3 linked regions of the Rattus norvegicus genome follow. The main gene of each other region encodes a partner of the protein of the gene in region 2 in a complex. Links are inferred from orthologs where the notes say so. Each region holds a gene or a part of one and is shown on either strand. Other genes may lie near its edges.

The links.
Region 1: Gtf2f2 (region 2) and Ercc2 share a complex: the UniProt entries of both Homo sapiens proteins name them as parts of the TBP-based Pol II pre-initiation complex. The link is inferred for Rattus norvegicus from reciprocal best matches to the Homo sapiens genes GTF2F2 and ERCC2.
Region 3: Gtf2f2 (region 2) and Polr2g share a complex: the UniProt entries of both Homo sapiens proteins name them as parts of the TBP-based Pol II pre-initiation complex. The link is inferred for Rattus norvegicus from reciprocal best matches to the Homo sapiens genes GTF2F2 and POLR2G.

Annotation. Positions count from the first base shown.
Region 1 is NC_086019.1:88,164,153-88,167,849, forward strand, and holds part of Ercc2 (general transcription and DNA repair factor IIH helicase subunit XPD), read left to right. Parts: intron 1-127; coding exon 128-205; intron 206-280; coding exon 281-343; intron 344-481; coding exon 482-595; intron 596-1,751; coding exon 1,752-1,868; intron 1,869-1,955; coding exon 1,956-2,072; intron 2,073-2,301; exon of another isoform or gene 2,302-2,380; coding exon 2,381-2,504; intron 2,505-2,603; coding exon 2,604-2,700; intron 2,701-2,786; coding exon 2,787-2,920; intron 2,921-2,997; coding exon 2,998-3,166; intron 3,167-3,619; coding exon 3,620-3,697. UniProt on the Homo sapiens protein: ATP-dependent 5'-3' DNA helicase. Component of the general transcription and DNA repair factor IIH (TFIIH) core complex, not absolutely essential for minimal transcription in vitro.
Region 2 is NC_086033.1:57,614,739-57,618,244, reverse strand, and holds the end of Gtf2f2 (general transcription factor IIF subunit 2), read left to right. Parts: exon of another isoform or gene 1-2,176; coding exon 2,177-2,296; 3' UTR 2,297-2,884; downstream 2,885-3,506. UniProt on the Homo sapiens protein: TFIIF is a general transcription initiation factor that binds to RNA polymerase II and helps to recruit it to the initiation complex in collaboration with TFIIB.
Region 3 is NC_086019.1:215,118,817-215,123,104, forward strand, and holds the start of Polr2g (DNA-directed RNA polymerase II subunit RPB7), read right to left. Parts: upstream 2,841-4,288; 5' UTR 2,767-2,840; coding exon 2,755-2,766; intron 2,643-2,754; exon of another isoform or gene 2,640-2,642; coding exon 2,530-2,639; exon of another isoform or gene 1,925-2,529; coding exon 1,765-1,924; exon of another isoform or gene 759-1,764; coding exon 708-758; exon of another isoform or gene 600-707; coding exon 534-599; exon of another isoform or gene 451-533; coding exon 379-450; exon of another isoform or gene 1-378. UniProt on the Homo sapiens protein: Core component of RNA polymerase II (Pol II), a DNA-dependent RNA polymerase which synthesizes mRNA precursors and many functional non-coding RNAs using the four ribonucleoside triphosphates as substrates.

The sequences.
Region 1 (3,697 bases), on a different chromosome or scaffold from region 2:
TGGGGCTTTGACATCAGCTCCCTTTGCGTGTGCTGTTGTTGGGTGCTGGCACATCAGGGATGAATTCCCCAGAGTTTATGTCAATGGGGTTCTGAGAGCCCATGTCTTTTCTGTGCCCAACTTTTAGGGTCATGGAGTCCTGGAGATGCCCTCAGGCACTGGGAAGACAGTGTCCCTGTTGGCCCTGATCGTGGCCTATCAACGGGTGAGTGGCCTCCTAAGTGCCAGGAATGGGATGGGGAAGGGACTGGATGGGGCTGAGGCCACTTGTCACCCACAGGCTTATCCACTGGAGGTGACCAAACTCATCTACTGCTCACGGACCGTGCCGGAGATTGAGAAGGTGGGCAGTGCAGACAGAACCCATGCTCTGTCCCCTCCACTGGGCCTTGGTGATCCCGTCTCAGCCCTCGGTAGCCTGGTGGGCAGGAACTTGTGTTTGTCCTAAGGTCCCCACCTAATGCTCCCATCGTCTGTGCAGGTCATAGAAGAGCTTCGTAAGCTGCTCAGTTTCTACGAGCAGCAGGAGGGTGAGAAGCTGCCATTCTTAGGACTGGCTCTGAGCTCGAGAAAGAACCTGTGCATTCATCCCGAGGTGAGCCCTGGGCCACGCACCTCAGGCCCAGAGTAAACCCTTTGTCAGTGAGGCGACAGAGTGCGGCTTCCTTTTCAGTTGTTAAATCAGTGTTCATCCTTGGTGGCTAAGGGCGGCACCTGTGCCAAGATCAGAGGCTGCTCCCATGCCACATGGTATCTCAGACTCTCGCATTTGACCTTAGTAAGGGACAGGTCAAAATCTGAATGGTAGCTTACTCAAAGTCGTGGGTGTTTTTGTATACAGGCAAAAGAGGTTAATTCCATGGCAGCCTCAGGCTCTGCCTCACAGTGTCCATTATGTTTATGTGGGTAGTTCAGACCCACACACATCCCGAACCAAACGCTGCTGACCCAGTGCTTTCAGAGAAGGGCTGGCTACTCAAGGCATCTTCGTTTTCTGTTTGGGGGTTTTGCTTGTTTAGAGAGAAATTTAGGCATTTATTTCTTTAAAACCTTACATGTTTGTGTGTATGAGTGTGCATGTATGTATGTGTACATATGGGCATGGGGCAGTCAGAGGACAACTTGTGGGGGTCTGTTCTCCTTGCACTGTGTGGATCCCAGGGATTGAAATCAGGTTGTCTGGCTTGGCAGCAGCCATCCATACTCACTGAGCCATCCAGCTAGCCCTCTGGCTGGCTGGTTTTCTGGGATCTGGATTGTGCCTACGGCTTTGTGTGCTATCCTCTCGCTTCACCTGTCTGAGTAACTGGATCACAGGCCCCTGCTGCCATACCCAGCTCTCGTGGGATGATTTCAGCCAGGCTCCACCTTGACACCGATGCAACAAGTTCTTGTAACAAATATCAATCAGCCAGGCGTGGTGCTGATAATCCCAGTGCTGGCCTTAATCCCAGCACTCAGGATGCAGAGGCCGGCTGATCTCGCTGAGTTCAGTGCCAGCCTAGCCTATAAATGAGTCCAGGACAGCCAGGGCTATTACACTGAGAAACCCTGTCTTCAAACACCAAAAGCCAAACAAATAAAACAAAACAAAACAAAAAACAAATAGCAAATCAGGTGAAGGTTCCCTGTTGCCCCCAAGCCCCAGCTAACACACTACTCCTGTTGTCTGAGTTTGGAGACCCAGTTCAAATAGCTGATATGCACCCCTTCCTGTCTCTGTTTTAAATTGTCCACTAACTCCCTCCTAGGTGACACCACTGCGCTTCGGGAAGGACGTTGATGGGAAGTGTCACAGCCTGACAGCGTCATACGTGCGGGCACAGTACCAGCAGGATGCCAGCCTACCTCACTGCCGTTTCTATGAGGTACAGGGAGAGCCCAGACTGGGGAGCAGGGCTGGGGCACGACAGAGCACCTCTCCCTGACCTTGCCACCCTCTGACCTTGCCCCAGGAATTTGACACCCATGGACGCCAGGTGCCCCTCCCTGCGGGCATCTACAACCTGGATGACTTGAAGGCCCTGGGGCAGCGGCAGGGCTGGTGCCCCTACTTCCTGGCTCGATACTCGGTGAAGAGTCGTTTTGTTTTCTTCTGAGGCAGAATCTCATTTGTAGCCCAGGCTGGCCTCAAACTTGGACTAACCCTGCCTCAGGTTCCCAGCTGTTAGGGTGTAGGCATGAGACGCTGTGCCGTCCTTCTGTTGGCCCTTCTGTTTCCATCCTATTACCTCTGTGGTTTTGTGCCTTGCCTGGGTGGTCCTGTCCATCTTTCCACCCATTGCTGTGTCTGTCTTTGTGGCACCTTCATGGACCTGGAGTAGAGTGGGTGTGGCGGGGGGAGCAGGGCCCAGGGCAACCTCTCCCTCCGTGTGCCCAGATCCTGCATGCCAACGTGGTGGTTTACAGCTACCACTACCTCCTGGACCCCAAGATCGCAGACCTGGTATCCAAAGAGCTGGCCCGCAAGGCCGTTGTGGTCTTCGATGAAGCCCACAATATCGGTGAGGAGGGTATCAGGGTGTGCAGACGATGGCAGCCCTCTGTCCCCCACCCCCAAGCCTGACTGAGCCCAGCTCTCACCCCTTTTCTCTTTCTCCTAGACAATGTCTGCATCGACTCCATGAGTGTCAACCTCACCCGCAGGACTCTGGACCGTTGCCAAAGCAACTTAGACACCCTGCAGAAGACGGTGCTCAGGTGCCCTCTCCGCTCCCGCTGTTGTGTGCGCCTCAGTGGCCCTGGACCCCTGCCTCATTCCAGCTCCTGTCCCTTGTCCCCATCAGGATCAAGGAGACAGATGAGCAGCGGCTACGAGATGAGTACCGGCGCCTGGTGGAGGGCCTGCGGGAGGCCAGTGCAGCTCGGGAGACAGATGCCCACCTGGCCAACCCTGTGCTGCCCGATGAGGTGCTGCAGGGTGAGCTACACCTCACCCCACCCAGCCTCCGGCCCTCACACACTCCTCCTGTACCAACTGACTTGATCTCCCTGCAGAGGCCGTGCCAGGCTCCATCCGCACCGCCGAGCACTTCCTGGGCTTCCTGCGGCGGCTGCTGGAGTATGTCAAGTGGCGGCTGCGTGTGCAGCATGTGGTGCAGGAGAGTCCACCTGCCTTTCTGAGCGGCCTGGCCCAGCGTGTGTGCATCCAGCGCAAGCCCCTCAGGTGCGGCCTGCAGCGGGAGCCATGGGCCCATACCTTTTGCTGGTGATGGAGGGATCTGGACCATAGCTAAGGCTGTGGGTCAGGTCAGCTTTGGATGTGGAGGGAGTCTGTGGGACTGTGTGGTGGGCAGTGAGTACCACAACCACGTGTCCCTATGTTGGGGGATGAGCAGATGACATAGACTTTGTGAGCCTAAGAAAGCGTGTGGCTAGTCCTCTTTGTGTGTGGGGTGGGGCCCATGGCACTGGCTGGCCAGAAGCAGAGTGACTGTTGGCCATGAGTTTTGACAAGATACTGCAGTGAGTGGGGAGCTGTGCTCCAGCCTGGAGTGGTGACCCTGGGTGTCTTATACAGTATGGGGACAGCGTCACACAATGCCCAGATTCCCAGGGAAACATGTGGCGAGAGTTGGGCCTGTTGCTACTTCTCACTCCTGACCCCTTTGCTTCTCAGGTTCTGTGCCGAGCGCCTGCGCTCCCTGCTGCACACCCTGGAGATTGCTGATCTGGCCGACTTCTCCCCACTCACACT
Region 2 (3,506 bases):
CCGAGCCTTTGTGCTTACTCATTCACACTCATGCCTTCAGCAAAGCCAACTATAGAAGGTGTGGGAGACAGGCAAGCCGCCTGGGCAACCCAGGCCTCAGTTGGTTGCTGCCACCTGCTGGGGCCTGTTTGCCAGAAGGCTGTCCAGTAGATAAGCAGTCCCAGGACCTCACTGAATCTAGTTTCTCAGCTGTTAAGTTTCTAGAAGACAAGCCTGGTGAGAGTGGTGCGTGCCTTTAACCCCAGGACTTGGGAGGTGGAGGCAGAGGCAGGCTGATATCTGTGAGTTCCAGGTTTCAGGACAGCCAAAGCTACATAGTGAGACCTTGTCTCAAAAAGAAACAAGCTTCTAGATGGCAGCCTATCTATGGGTTAATGGATTGTGCTGCATTATTTCAAATCAGCATAGGTAGGGAATTGACTATTTGGTAACATGTGGTGTCCTGTTGTGTCGAGGTTCAGAGAACAAAGGATATCAAGGGCTCAGAAATCCTGGAATATTAGAGAGCTGTAACAGCCTCAAAGCAGAGGTCTTGGATCTTCAGAATCTGCTAGGGCCTTGGATGGAGAAAGGAAGAACACAGATTTGAGCTCAGTCTGGACAGCTTAATGAGACCATGACTCAAAAAAAAAAAAAAAAAAAAAAAAACAAGGACAGGTTTGGGTCTGGTGGCACTTGGAGGCAGAGCCAGGGAGATCTCCACTAGTTTAGGGCAAGCCTGGTCTACATTGAGAGTTGCAGACCAGCCTAGGCTGTATTGTCAGACCCTATTTATAAAGGAAGGGGTCATAGTGGCAAACACCTTTAATCCCAGTACTCTGAAAGCAGAGGCAAGTAAATTTCTGAGTTTGAAGCTAGTTGGTTTACCTAAGAAAGTTCTTGGCCAGCCATGGCTACAGAGTACAATCCTGTCTGTATACCCATGCATGCCTTCATGCACACACAGGAGTTTGCTGAAGATACATACATAATGTGGTTTGGGTGATAGTGCATTCAGTGCAAATATTATCTAGGCAGGAGCTCCTCGACCATTAGTGCCTCTCCTTTCAGTGAATGACATATCCTCCTGCAGTGAGAGGAGTCATCTTAATCTTGTGACTGTCTTTGAAGCATATATTCAGAAGTTAGGTTGGTTGGGTTTTTTATGGCAGAACACACTTGTGAATAACTAGCTTTCCTTTCTCTTCTGAGGTCACTGTCATTTGTATTAGTAAGTTTATAGTGGGTGCTTCCGTGGGTTTTGTAGTACAGTCAGCATAGTCCTAATTTCCAGGACTCCAGTAATCATTTGTAAGCAGGTTCTGGGGACACAGAATAATGTGAGCCAAACACGAGGAGCCTGCACCCTCATAGTTCTTGGTCTTCTCCCTGCTTTAGCAGGCCCAGGCAACACAAAGGTAGTACCTTTCCTTTTTCCACAGGAAACTTGTGTTTGAAGACCCATCTTAGGTCAGATGGGGTGTGGCTCATAATTTTATTCCCAGCACTCAGAAAACAGGACAGTCAGGCTGGAGAGATGGCTCAGCGGTTAAGAGCACTGACTGCTCTTCCAGAGGTCCTGGGTTCAAATCCCAGCAACCACATGGTGGCTCACAACCATCTGTAATGGGACCCGATGTTCTCTCCTGGTGTGTTTGGAGACAGCTACAATATACTTCTATATAATAAATAAATCTTTTGAAAAGAAAACAGGGCAGTTGAGGCCTGTCTTTAAAGAAAAACACATCTTATAGAAGTAGGAATTCTAGATGCTTATCATATGCTTGCTTCTTAACTATTATTTCCCGTCCCTACAGTGTGTGTCATTTGTGTGGATGCTCATTAAACTGCTGATTAACTCAGTCTGTGGACTGAGTCTGTTAAGTCACTGAAATCAAATCAGACTGCCCTCTATTGAATTCAGTAAACATTGAGCAGCCATTACTGTATATTTTCCGCTAGATTCCTCTCTATTCGGGACTTCCAGGCCTTTGATGCACATGCTTGTATATTTAGTGAAGTACACATTGTAGAATCAGAAAAACTGTTGAACCTTTTCATAGAAACCCCACTTGGGTTTCAAGGGTGCTAGTTTTTGTTACTGCTGAGTATTTAGTGTATGTCACTGTCAGTATTATTTCCTGCCTTGATAATCTCATCTGTGGAGGGTTTTTATAATTTTGGTTTTGGTTTTTAGGGATACCTGAAAGAAATCTTGAAAGAAATCGGCATTCAGAATGTAAAAGGAATTCACAAGAATACGTGGGAGCTGAAGCCAGAGTACAGGCATTACCAAACAGAGGAGAAGAGCGACTGAGAGAAGCGTGTGCAACAGTTACAGGCAGATCTCTGCCACCACACGCTGACTGCCTGCCCACCCTGACAGGACAAAGACAACTGAGTCTGTCTGCCATTCCTCAGTAAACTGTTAAAGCTGGGACTCCAAAAGGTTTCTAAGTGTTTTTTGAAGAGAAAGATATTATTTATAGACTAGACTTGTGTTAAGCCATAGCATTCAGCAGGCATGCTGACAACACATACATGTGTCTGACACTCAGGAGACTGAGGCAGGCAAAGGGTGAGTGACTTTGAGACCAGTCTGGAATACACAGCAAGACCCTCTCCCATAAAAGGAAAACATTACAGTATGGGTAGGGTCTGGGGTTACAACTGCCTCTGTTCCCACTGGTTAGCTTTGCAAGTGTAAATGGGACATTTCCTAAATGAAATTGTATCTCTGAGGAACTAAGGTAAGAATGGAGAAAGTGGGGGGAGGGAAACTATTAAAGGAACAGAGTTGAAGTTCCTTTTTCTGAAACTGAAGAGGGAACTTGTCCCTCCCTACAGAGGTAATATTTTACCTTCAAACATACGTAAATAAAGAGATCTGTTCCCTTTGTACTAAGTGGCAGCTTTTATCACTGGTGCCTAACCCTTGTGGTACTGGAAAGAGAAACAGTCAAAACTCGAGACAGTTACTGTCCCATCTGGAGAGCTGGCTCGTGGTTACGGGCACACACTGCTCCTGCAAAAGATATGAATTTGGTTCCCAGCAGCCAAGTCAGTTTCTTTCTCAGCTGTCTATACTCCAGCGTCAAGGGATCCTTGCCTTCTTAGGTCTCCACAGGTTTCCACACATACGTGTCCATACATTCACACAGACACATGAATGAAACTAATTTTTTTTTAAAATCTCTTAAAATAACAATTGATAATTAAGTACCTTTCCAACTTCAAGATGCATCTCTAACCAGATATAAGCTCCCTGGAGACTGGCTTTGGCCTGGGATTTTTACTTCCCACTGTCTAGGCAAGGCTGACCCTTTGCTATCAGATTCTATTGCCAACTGAATCGGGGCTGTTAGGTGGTGCACTGAGATGGCAAAGGCAGGTGCTGTTCCCTAGAGCCTCAAACGCTCTCCGCGCTGTCCTCAGCTGAGCGGATGGAAGCAGCACGTGTATGGATGAGTTTCCTCAGGACGATGAATGTCATGTGGTAAAGAATGTGAAGCAGATGCCCCAACAAA
Region 3 (4,288 bases), on a different chromosome or scaffold from region 2:
GAGGAAAGGGAGAAAGGATGGTGAGGTGGGGCCCCACCCCATTCCGAGCCTTCTGTCATCTATTCCCTGCTCATGGACACAGAGCACAGAGCCCCCAACAACTGTGGATGGCAAGAGGTCAACAGCGCAGATGGGGAAAGAGCTTGCTCCAACCCTGATGACCTGACCTCCACCCCCAAAATCCACAGCAGCATGCGATGACCTGAAGGCGGTCTAAATGTCACACTGTGGCGAGTGTGTATGCCCACACATCCACATAAATATGTTCTACAAAAGAAACGAGAAACCCACAGCTGTCAGCTGTGAATGATGACTTTGGATTATTTATAATCCTACTACCCAGGAGGCTAAGGCAGGCCAGTCAAGCAAGAGACTCACAATGTCATTCTTGTCTACACGTGTCCCTACAATCTTCAAGCGTATCTCATCGTCCTGCTGAATTACAATGTCCTGTGGAAAGGAGAGAGCAGGGTCATCAAGCAGACTCAGGCCTGGTCCTCATCCCTCTCACCAACTCCTCCTCATTCGCTCACCTCATCCATGGTCTTGTAACAAGGGGGGTTCGAATTTGGATCAAACTCCATCTCTGAAGGGATGGACTAGAAGGAAATTGACACAAAGGTTAGCATTTCAAATAGCTGCATCAAAGGATGAGAGTCAGGGGCTGGTTTCTCCTCCTCGGCCTCACCCCACACGCCCAGACTCACGTGTCGAGAGATGAAGCAGGACATGGGCCCAATTTCTGTGAAAAGTCCAACCTAGAAGGAAAATGACCGTGCTTCAAACGCTCTGAAGCATCTTTACCTGATTTCTAGGCACATTATTCATGTTTCTTAACAGTTTAAATTGTAGCATTTGTTTTAATTTCTCTCTGTGTAATCTTTCATTTCTTTACATTTTTGTTCTTCATTATTTTTATGTGTAAGAATATTCTGACCTCACATGTGCCTGTGCACCATGTACCTGCAGTGCCCATGGAAGCCAGGAGAGGGTATTGGGACCCTGCAGAATTAGGAGTTACAGATTATTGTGAGCCATTGGCTGGGTGCTGGGAGTCAAACCCAGGTCTTATAGAACCAGTAGGTGCTCTAAACCACTGAGCTATAGACCCCTTAGCCTTTAAGAAACTTAATTTCTGAGGCTAGAGAGATAGCTCAGTGGTTAAGAGCACTGACTGCTCTTCCATGGGTCCTGAGTTCAATTCCCAGCAACCACATGGTGGCTCACAACCATCTGTAATGAGATCTGATGCCCTCTTCTGGTGTGTCTGAAGAGAGCTACAGAGGAGTGTGTATAATAAATAAATCAGGGGCTAGAGAGATGGCTCAGCGGTTAAGAGCACTGATTGCTCTTCCAATGATCATGAGTTCAATTCTCAGCAATCACATAGTGGCTCATAATCATCTGTAATGGGATCTGATGCCCTCTTCTGATGTGTCTGAAGACAACAGTGTACTCATATAAATAAAAATAAACAAACAAACCTTAAAAAAAAAAAAAAAAAAAAGAAAAGAAAACCCAAAACTAAGATAAAATAAAATAAATCTTGACAACCACAAAAGGCTTAAGGCAACTAATAAGTGGACTGGGAATTGAACTCTCACCTTAGGAAATACCCCGTAACCTTTCTTTTTTTTTTTTTTTTTTTTCTTCTTTTTTTTCGGAGCTGAGGACCGAACCCAGGACCTTGCACTTCCTAGGCAAGCGCTCTACCACTGAGCCAAATCCCCAACCCCATAACCTTTCTATAAATAATACTCTTACCTTGTTGACCTGAGTGACCACAGCATCCACCACTTCCCCTTTAAAGGGCCGGAAAACAATAGCTTTGTATTTCACTGGATAAAGAACAAAACCTCGGCCCGGCTGGATCACACCAGCACCAATATTGTCGATGGTAGTGACAGCAATCACAAAGCCATATCTGCAGGAAAGATGAAAAAAGACAGCTACTGTATGTGAAGAGCCTCTAAAAAGCCACCAGCAATAGTCTGCGTGTGATGGAACCTCTGCTCGAACAGCTCGATGACCAAGAAGAGACAGAACTCAGATTAGCACCTGAAATATTAAATGGTGCTCTCACAATTGTACAGTAAATGCCCAAGAAGGCACAGATATGCTGACATACACCTATTCTCTCAGTACCAGGACTTGCCAGGTCAGTGGTGAGACAGGTCTTTCGAAAACCACAAATCAGACAGAAAATTGTGACGAAAACCTTTAATCCCAGCACTCAGTGGCAGGCAGTTCTCTGAATTAGAGGCCAGCTTGGTCCACATAGTGAGGCCATCTCGAAACCCAAAACATTTGCATAATAACGGTCTGATCTCGCATAAGCGAAGAAAATTTGGTTTAGCAACCTTTTAGAAGGCCCAAAATAGGCAAAAACTGGCTGCTTCGGATGCCTGGAGTGGTGAAAGAGTTCCTCAGAGTAAGTAACAAGCCCTGACTGAAGGAGTGAAGTAGAGGTTACAGAGTAGCGTTATTGTGCCTGCATTCAGCAGACGACACTGTGAATCAGACACTTACTTCCCAGTGCAGGTCCCCTCCACCTCGGTGAACAGCTTCTGCTTCACCGTGTTGAGCAAGTTGGGACCAAAGTAGCGTGGGTGCAGTAGGATCTCGTGCTCCAGGGAAATCTGCAGAGAAAGGAAGATGAAGACTCCGCCAGCCACACTGAGAACAGGAGGCGACCCGTCGGCCCTCCAGGCTCCTCCTGTCCCTGCCCTCACCGCTACCCCGCGTCCAGCTCACATGATAAAACATCTTCTGCAGAAGCTTGGACCGCAGAGGCCAGAACTCCCCAGGAAGGGACCTCGCCGGAAGCACTAGCAGAAGTCCCACCAAGTCTCCGCAGTCGCTTCCGCAGATTTGAGTCTTAACGCCATGGGCGGGGAAACGTGAAGCCCCGCCCCTCAGGCCTTCCCATCAGCGCTCATCAGCACAGCCAGGATTACACAGAAAAACCCGGTCTCGAAAAACCTTAAAAAAAAAAAAAAAAAAAAAAAAAAAAGGTTAAGAGGTCTGGCTTGTCGCCACATGCCTTTAAACCCAGCCGTGGCAGACAGATCTCTAAATTCAAGGCTAAGCCACATCTACAAAGTGAGTTCCAGGATAACCAAGACTGTGTATACAAACCCTATAAAAAAATTTGTTTTTGGGGTTGGGGATTTGGCTCAGAGGTAGAGCGCTTGCCTAGCAACCGCAAGGCCCTGGGTTCGGTCCCCAGCTCCGAAAAAGAGAAAAAAAAATTGTTTTTTAAATTTTATTTTAGGGGCTGAAGAATTAGCTCAGTCCTTAAGAGCACTTGCCAGCCCCCACAGGATAGCTCACAATCTTATCTGTAACTACAGTTCAGAGAGAACTGACACCCTCTTCTGGCTTCATTCAGCACTGCATGCTAGTGGTACACAGACATAATGCAGGCAGAACACCGATGCTTGTAAAATAAAAATAAAGATGAGGTAGTTGGGGAGATTGCTCAACAGTTAAAATCAATGGTTGCTCCTCCGAAGGATCCAGGTTTGATTCCTAGAACAAACATGGTAACTCAACTAGCTATATTTCAATCCTAGGGGATCCAGTGCCATCTGGGGCCTCCATGGACACTTCTCCCTTGTGGTGAACAGGCATAGATACAGCCAGAACATTCATACATATAAAATAAAAATAAAGGTTTTTACACATAAAATAAAAATAAAGCTCTCGAAGAGGACCTGAGTTCAATTACTAACACTGCACCCGAGGTCTCACAACTCCAGCTCGAAGGGGATCTGAAACTTTCTCATTGCCTCAGGAGGTACCAGCACTTGTGGGCTTGTACTCACATACAGATAACAGACATCATTGAGTACACCTAATTAAGAAGAAGTCACTTGGAAGTGTGGCACACGCCTTAAATCCCAATATTCAGGAACAAAAGGCAGGTGGGTCTTCAAGTTCAAGGCCAACCTGGTCTACAGCATGAGTTCCAGAACAGCCAGGGATACATTAAAAATGAAGGTGTCGGGGTTGGGGATTTAGCTCAGCGGTAGAGCGCTTGCCTAGCAAGTGCAAGGCCCTGGGTTCGGTCCCCAGCTCCGGAAAAAAAAAATGAAAGTGTCTTGTTAAACAAAACAAAAAGACAACAAGCAAAAAGATTACTTATGTGGGCACGCACTGGGCTTACTTTCTTTTCTATTTGAGGGACGGTTTTATTATGTGACCATGGATGACCTGAGATTTGCTTTGTAGAGTAAGCTTGCCCTGAACTTTTTTTTCCCCTGGAGCTGAGGACCTAACCCAGGGC